2 linked regions of the Neurospora crassa OR74A genome follow. The protein of the gene in region 2 interacts with the protein of the main gene of each other region in a pairwise test. Links are inferred from orthologs where the notes say so. Each region holds a gene or a part of one and is shown on either strand. Other genes may lie near its edges. The genes, in order: mus-40 and NCU02036.

The links.
Region 1: the proteins of NCU02036 (region 2) and mus-40 interact in binary tests that used the Saccharomyces cerevisiae proteins (3 or more experiments, as listed by UniProt). The link is inferred for Neurospora crassa OR74A from reciprocal best matches to the Saccharomyces cerevisiae genes SEN1 and RAD2.

Annotation. Positions count from the first base shown.
Region 1 is NC_026501.1:403,540-407,460, forward strand, and holds the start of mus-40 (DNA excision repair protein Rad2), read right to left. Parts: upstream 2,760-3,921; 5' UTR 2,464-2,759; coding exon 1-2,463. Other genes in the region: NCU07497 (hypothetical protein), read left to right, coding at 3,268-3,411, 3,521-3,913. UniProt on the Saccharomyces cerevisiae protein: Single-stranded DNA endonuclease involved in excision repair of DNA damaged with UV light, bulky adducts, or cross-linking agents. Essential for the incision step of excision-repair.
Region 2 is NC_026501.1:1,602,056-1,604,879, reverse strand, and holds part of NCU02036 (tRNA-splicing endonuclease), read left to right. Parts: coding exon 1-2,824. UniProt on the Saccharomyces cerevisiae protein: ATP-dependent 5'->3' DNA/RNA helicase required for the expression and maturation of diverse classes of non-protein-coding RNAs like precursor tRNAs, rRNAs and small nuclear (snRNA) and nucleolar (snoRNA) RNAs.

The sequences.
Region 1 (3,921 bases), about 1.2 Mb from region 2:
TTCGGGGTCGCTGAAGTCGTCTTCGAATTCGGAGAGGGCGGGGGCGTCGGGGTCGGGAACGATGTCAGTGGTGGTATCGTCTGGAACCGCCGCCAAACCTTCAACTCGTTCCTGTTGGGCAGGTGGAGGAAGGACGTCTTTGAAGAGGTCTGCTTCGATCTGGGCGTCTTCTTCGGCTTGAGTTGCGGGTGGTCCGAAGGAGAGGGTCATGGTTTGAGACGGAAGGGTTACGTCTTCAAACACAATGTCGTCGCCTTCTTCCTCATTAGGGGAGGGTGATTGACGGCTGGTTTCAACTGGCTCTTGCGACACTTCGTCGTCCAAAGAAGGCAAGCTAGGCCCCGGCATCTGAGTGAGCTTCTTGGGCGATGGAGGAGCATCGAGGATCTCCAAATCACCATCACTTTCATCGGATGACTCAATCATCATGACCTCATCCTCTCGTTGCTTTCGAATTCTGGCCTGCTCTTCTCGAGCCAAGTTTTCATCCTCCTCAGCCATCTGCCTGTCCTGTTCTCGCTGCTTCCGTACAGTGTCGCGAATGTCTTCGTCGTTATTCGCTAGCCATGGCGGTAGTGGACGAGGAGCATCCTTCGGCTCTTTCTCAAAACCGCCAGCATCGTCATCAGACTGAGGTTCCATCTCACCAGTTTCAACTGGCTTGGGCGGTTCAGACACCTTTTCCTTCTGAGATTTTGCTTTCGGTCGGTTGCCCCCAAGCAGTTGCTTCCAGTTCAGCTTCTCAAATGGAAGGGGACCTTTAAAGGGAGTGTTGGTAGGAGCAGGGCGGTTTTCGACCACTGGCTTTGGCGCTGGAGCCTTTGCTTGCTTCCTCCTGGCAGCGGCCATGGCTGCTCGAATATCCCCCTCGCTGTCACTGCTGTCGGTACTCTCCCTTCGCCTTGGGACGGCAGCACTCGCCCTGTTGTTGACAATGTGTGCGACCATGCGACCACTGGTACTAACAATGGGCTTGGGCGCTTCCACCGCTTTCTGCGTCCACTCTGGCGGAGTAACCTCTTCGAACTCCATATCCTCATCCTCCTTCTCTTCTGATAGACCAACACCATGCTGATTCTGAAGAGACATGGCAATAGCCTTGTTGAGGTCTTCTTCCTCATCAGCTTCGACCGCATTCTCCTCTCCATAGACGGCATCTTGTCCGTTGTCAACAAACAAGGCCTCGTCATCTTCGTCCTCGTCCTCCGCCTCTTCACTCTGTCTCGGCTCGTAGAACTGCCTCCTCGAATTCGCAGTCCCCCTCGGCCTGTAACCAGCAGCCCTAGTCAGCTTGGGCAACCGATTCAACCCCTCAATTGGCACGTCCTCGAACTCGACATCCTCTTCCGAATCCTCCTCTTCCTCTCCCTTGCCCTGAAACTGAAACTCGAGTTCGTCCACATCAATTGGATTGGTCATCTGTCCTTTATCCTTCTCTGTACTCACGACTCCCAGCGCATATCCGCCTTCGGCACCTTCATTCTTGACCAGGATATACTCCCTATTCTGATCGCCCGCCACTCTCGTCGCGTTGACTGCCAGCGTCAGATCCAATCCCGTCATGCCCATCTCGTACATCAGTCTCTGCGTCAAGTGATTCCTCTCCTTGACTCTCTCAATCTGAAACCGGCTGAAATCCATCCGGTTAGGGAACATGACGTCCAACTGCTCTTTACTCAACCCCATTCTCAATCTGCTCCGCAACCTCGCCGCATTCAAGATGTTGTACCGATCAGCCGGCGGCAAAGACTTGAAGAACTCGCCATCAAAGTCGATCTTGCTGAAATCGTACAAGTTGATATCCTCCCCGTTCTCAAACTGCCTAGCGTACTCTTCGAGTTCTTCGACAGACATGATGCGCGGATCATCCGGCTTGCCCATGGCTTCGATGCCGCCGTCGAGGTCAGGAAGATGGTAGGCGTCTTGCTTGTGGAAGCGTCGAGACTTTTGGCGTTCTTGTTTTGACATGCCTAATTCGTCGGCGTAAACGACTTTGTCCATGTCGGGCAGTACTTCCTGTTCTTCTTCTTCTGCTGCTGCTGCTGCTGCCGCCGTTTTATTGCCTTCTCGTGCCTCTGCCCTTTTGCGCCTCCGTTCGTCTTCCTCCTCTGCCATACGATGCATCTGCACCGCTAGTAATTTCCCTGCCGTTCGCGTGGCGTCATCGCGTCTGCCCTCTCGTCTTCGCCGGCGAGCCTGGATGGTGGCGCGCTTGAGAGCGGGGGCGCCGCCGTCAAAGACGAAGACGGGCTTGATGCCGTACCAGAGTAGTTTACATATTCGACGGAAAAAACCGACGACGTGACTGTTGCGAAGGGCGTTGCCTTCTTTGTCGCGGACGGCTTTGAGGAATTGGTAGATCCAGATGGAGGCGTCGATGGCGAGGCGTTTGCGGTTGAGGGTGGAGAGGTTGGTTGGGCGGGCACAGGGTTGGAGGACGGTCCAGAGGCCATTCACACCCATGGTGGGTGTTTACTCGGTATTGTGACTCGGTATTGGTAGTAGTGATGGTGGTGATGGCAGTGATGGTAGTGGTGGTGATGTTGATGTAGAAGAGGTCGTCAAGGTGCTCAACGAAGGGCGCTGTTAGTCGGCACAAACACGCTAACGGGGAGTGACGCCAGGGCAAAGAGATAGTTATAATGACCGAATAAGGTGCAGTTTTTCACTTTGGTCGTGTGAGGAAACTCATGGTAATAGAAAAGGTCAGAGGTAAACAATCACATTCAATTGAAGTGTATTGTAGTGGTGACGTGAAGAATTCCAGTGATGACAAAGTGCCAAGTTCACGCTCATCATCGAAGCCATGATGTTGACGGCGATCCGGCTGCTGCCTGCCGGCTGACTCTTATCGCTTATCGCCTGTCTGTTTATGCAATAAGCCGGATGCCTGCCCCATGATGCACTTTCCGAGAACAGAAGCTTGGGCCCAGGGTTGGCAGTGGTCAACACAAAAACAGCCCATTCCCTCAACCCTGAACACAACATCAACAGAAGTCAACATCAGAGCTCAAGACGGCGCGGGCGCTGAACACATCAACGGGCTCTACAACTTGTTCGGGGGTTACTTGGCTCGATCAAAAATACAATTGGAAAGCTCTTTCAGTAGCAACACCCGTTATTCATCACACACGGCATACGAGCATCATCAGACATTCACCGATTAGGCATCCATCTCTTTTATCCCGGCTTGCTCACTCACCGAAACCACCCCGGCGACAACACCTCACCTGTACACCACTTTCACATAACATAACATCCTTCACCATGAGCGAAGACCCAAACATCACTTTCCTCCCCGAAGACAGGGACGACGCCACAGACTGGCTCAACTCCCTCCTCAACAAAAACCTTCGAGTCTCCGTGACTGACGGCCGCATGTTCTGGGGCCAGTTCAAGTGTGTTGATGCAGTAAGCTTCCCATTCATCCCTTGTTACCCTTTCTCCCCTTCTTACTTCTTTTTTCATCTCTAATTCCCCCGTCCCATATTCACCAAATCACTCACACACATATCAACAGGAAAGCAACATAATCCTCCACTCAGCCTACGAATACCGCTTCCCCACCTCTTCCCAAGTGGCCGCCGCCGTTACTTCCTCTTCTTCTGTTACCCCCACCCCCACCGGCACGACAATCACCTCCTCCTCTGCACTCTCTGCACCTTCAGACTCAGATCCTTCTCTCTCAGCAACTCCCCAAGAGGCCTACGAGAGCGCCACCAGCTCCTCCTCCTCCTCCTCAGCAGGAAAAGTAAAAGTCGACCTCACCTCGCGCCATTTAGGGTTGGTCGTCATCCCAGGCCAGTACATCACCAAGATCGAGCTGGAGGAGTTTGCAAGTCAGGTTCGGGCGCGGAATCGGGGGTTTGGACAGGGGTTTCATCCGGGATGGAGAGATGGGGGAATTTCCTAGGCGGATAG
Region 2 (2,824 bases):
TGCTATCGTCAAGGGATGGTGGGATTGCGAATGGAGAGCCGTCGGCCACTCGTTCGGATCCATGAGACTCTGGCACGTGAAGGTGGACAAGAAAGTCATGGAGGACTTTTGTCGTGATGTGATGGAACTTGCAGAGAAGCTCCTCGCCCAAGACGGTCTCATGGCTTCGGCACTTAGCAGTCCTCAAAGCATCTCGGCGACAAACGGTGACGACGGCTCAGAGGGCATGAAGTTGGTCCTGGAGCCGCCGAGAATACACTCGCTTCCCTTAGTGGACATGTTGCAACTCCGCGATAAATATCTTATCGCCGGTATTATCGAAATCACCAAGAAGTTGATCAAGCGTCTGCAAGACAACGGCATGGATCTTCCGCCAAAAACAGTCGCCTATCTCAACAATATGCTGAAGAAGAGGAAGATGACTGATGGGCGAACGGACTACCCCATAAAGACGAATCTCACCAACGAGCAACGGATCGAGCTACTCAAGGCGCTCGGGGACGATGCTGCCATCGAAGCGCAGTTCGTTGGTGGAAAGCCTGTGAAGCAGGAGGTCAAGCCGGTTATGAAACAGGCAAAGCTTGATTTCTCAAAGGCATCACTCAAAGACCACATTGCCTCGCTTACGCCTGCCTTTGAGAAGGCCACTGAGAGGCGGAAGAATGCTCTGTTGGAGACGATGAAGGCTGAGGCTCCAGCCAAGGCTCCTCCCAAAATCGACTCAAAGGCTGCCGACAAGATCAAGGAGGCTAGGCGGCTTGAGCGAGAAGCCAAGGCCAAGCGAGATGCTGAGGCCATCGCGAGGGCAAAGGCCCTGCGTGCGCCACCGAAGCTGGTCCAGGGAGAAGGCTCAGGTCTGGCTGGTGTTGCTGGAGTTCGTGGCAAAGACCACGCCCCAGTGCTGAAGGATGAGATCATGGTTGGTTCATCATCGGAAGACGAAGATGAGTCTGACGATGACGAGTTGATCACACTCCATGCCGCTGGAAAGAAGAATATGACTGAGGCCGAGCGTCGCGCCCATCGGTTGTTGGCTGAGAAGATGCGCGGACCGGTGAAGAAGGTCAAGATCGAGCGGTCCGCCAAGGATATGCGCGCTCGCCTTATTCCCCCTATGGATGTGTTGCACCAGGCCATCTTGGAGTGGGACATCTTCCACGAAGGTAACGATCCGCCGAACGGGTACCGTTGTGATCACGTCTCGGATACCTACCAGGACCCGGTCAGCTACAAGCAAACCTTCTTTCCGTTGCTCATCAATGAAGCCTGGCGCTCGTTTGTCACAGCCAAGGATGAAACCACGTCCAAGCCCTTTGGCATCAAGGTACTTAGTCGCATGACAGTCGACAAGTTCATGGAAGTTACGGCGTCGGTTCCAGTTGCAATCAACAAAGACCGTCAATTGTCTGAAGGAGATATTGTCATCATTTCCAAGGGCCAAAACCCGCTTCAAGAGCCAGAAGAGCTACACTGTCTTTCGCGTATCTGGAAGACAACTTACAAAAAAGACAATGTGGAGGTCGTCTACCGCCTGAATGCCAAAGGGAACCAAATTCTACCTGCGCTACTGCCTGGCTCGGAGTTTACCGTTGTCAAGATCACCAACATGACGACCATTGAACGCGAGTATGCCGCCCTGGAAAGTTTACAGTACTATGATCTTATGGACGAGGTATTGAGGGCTGAACCGTCTCCTATGCTGTCTTTTGGCGAGGAGAACATCAAGAACACCATGAAAAACTGGAATCTTAACCCAGGTCAAGCGAAGGCGATCCTGAACGCCAAGGAGAACGATGGGTTCACCCTTATCCAGGGTCCTCCAGGTACCGGTAAAACTAAGACCATTGTGGCAATGGTTGGCTGTCTTCTGACCGGCGTGCTCAAAAACCCTACCGCTGGGGTGGCCATTGGGCGTCCGGGACTCGGAGCTGCGAAGAACAACGCTCCAGCAAAGAAGCTGCTTGTTTGCGCGCCCAGTAATGCCGCTGTGGACGAATTGGTGTTGCGCTTGAAGAATGGTGTCAAGACCCAGAACGGAACAACTCACCAAATTGAGGTGGTCCGTCTCGGTCGCAGTGATGCCATCAACAGCGCAGTCAAGGATGTCACGCTTGATGAGCTGGTCAAGGCGAAACTCGAGGCTCAGTTGAACAAGGATGAAGGCCCGACTGACCGGGAGAAGCTGCACCAAGAAGCGGGCGAGATCAAGCAGAAGATTGCCGAACTCAGACCTCAACTGGAAGCAGCGCGCACGATTGACGACAGGCAGCTGGTCAACAAATATCAGCGGGAGTTCGACGAACTCAAGCGGCGCCAGGCGCACATCGGAGCGCGCATCGATGCGGATAAAGCTAGCGGCAACACATTTGCTAGAGAGACCGAAATCAAACGCCGACAGGTCCAGCAGGAGATTCTGGACAAGGCTCAGGTGCTGTGCGCCACTCTCAGCGGTAGCGGTCACGAGATGTTCAAGAACTTGAACGTGGAGTTTGAGACGGTCATCATCGATGAGGCGGCGCAGTGTGTGGAGCTCAGTGCGCTCATTCCCCTGAAGTACGGATGCTCCAAGTGCATTCTTGTCGGTGATCCTAAGCAGTTACCACCTACCGTTCTCTCGCAGTCCGCTGCACGGTACGGCTACGACCAGAGTTTGTTCGTCCGCATGCAGAAGAATCACGAGAAGGACGTACATCTCCTCGACACCCAGTATCGTATGCATCCTGAAATCAGCTCCTTCCCCAGAGCCGCCTTTTACGAAGGTCTCCTACAAGACGGTGACGACATGGCCAAATCGCGCCTCCAGCCCTGGCACCGCAGTACTTTG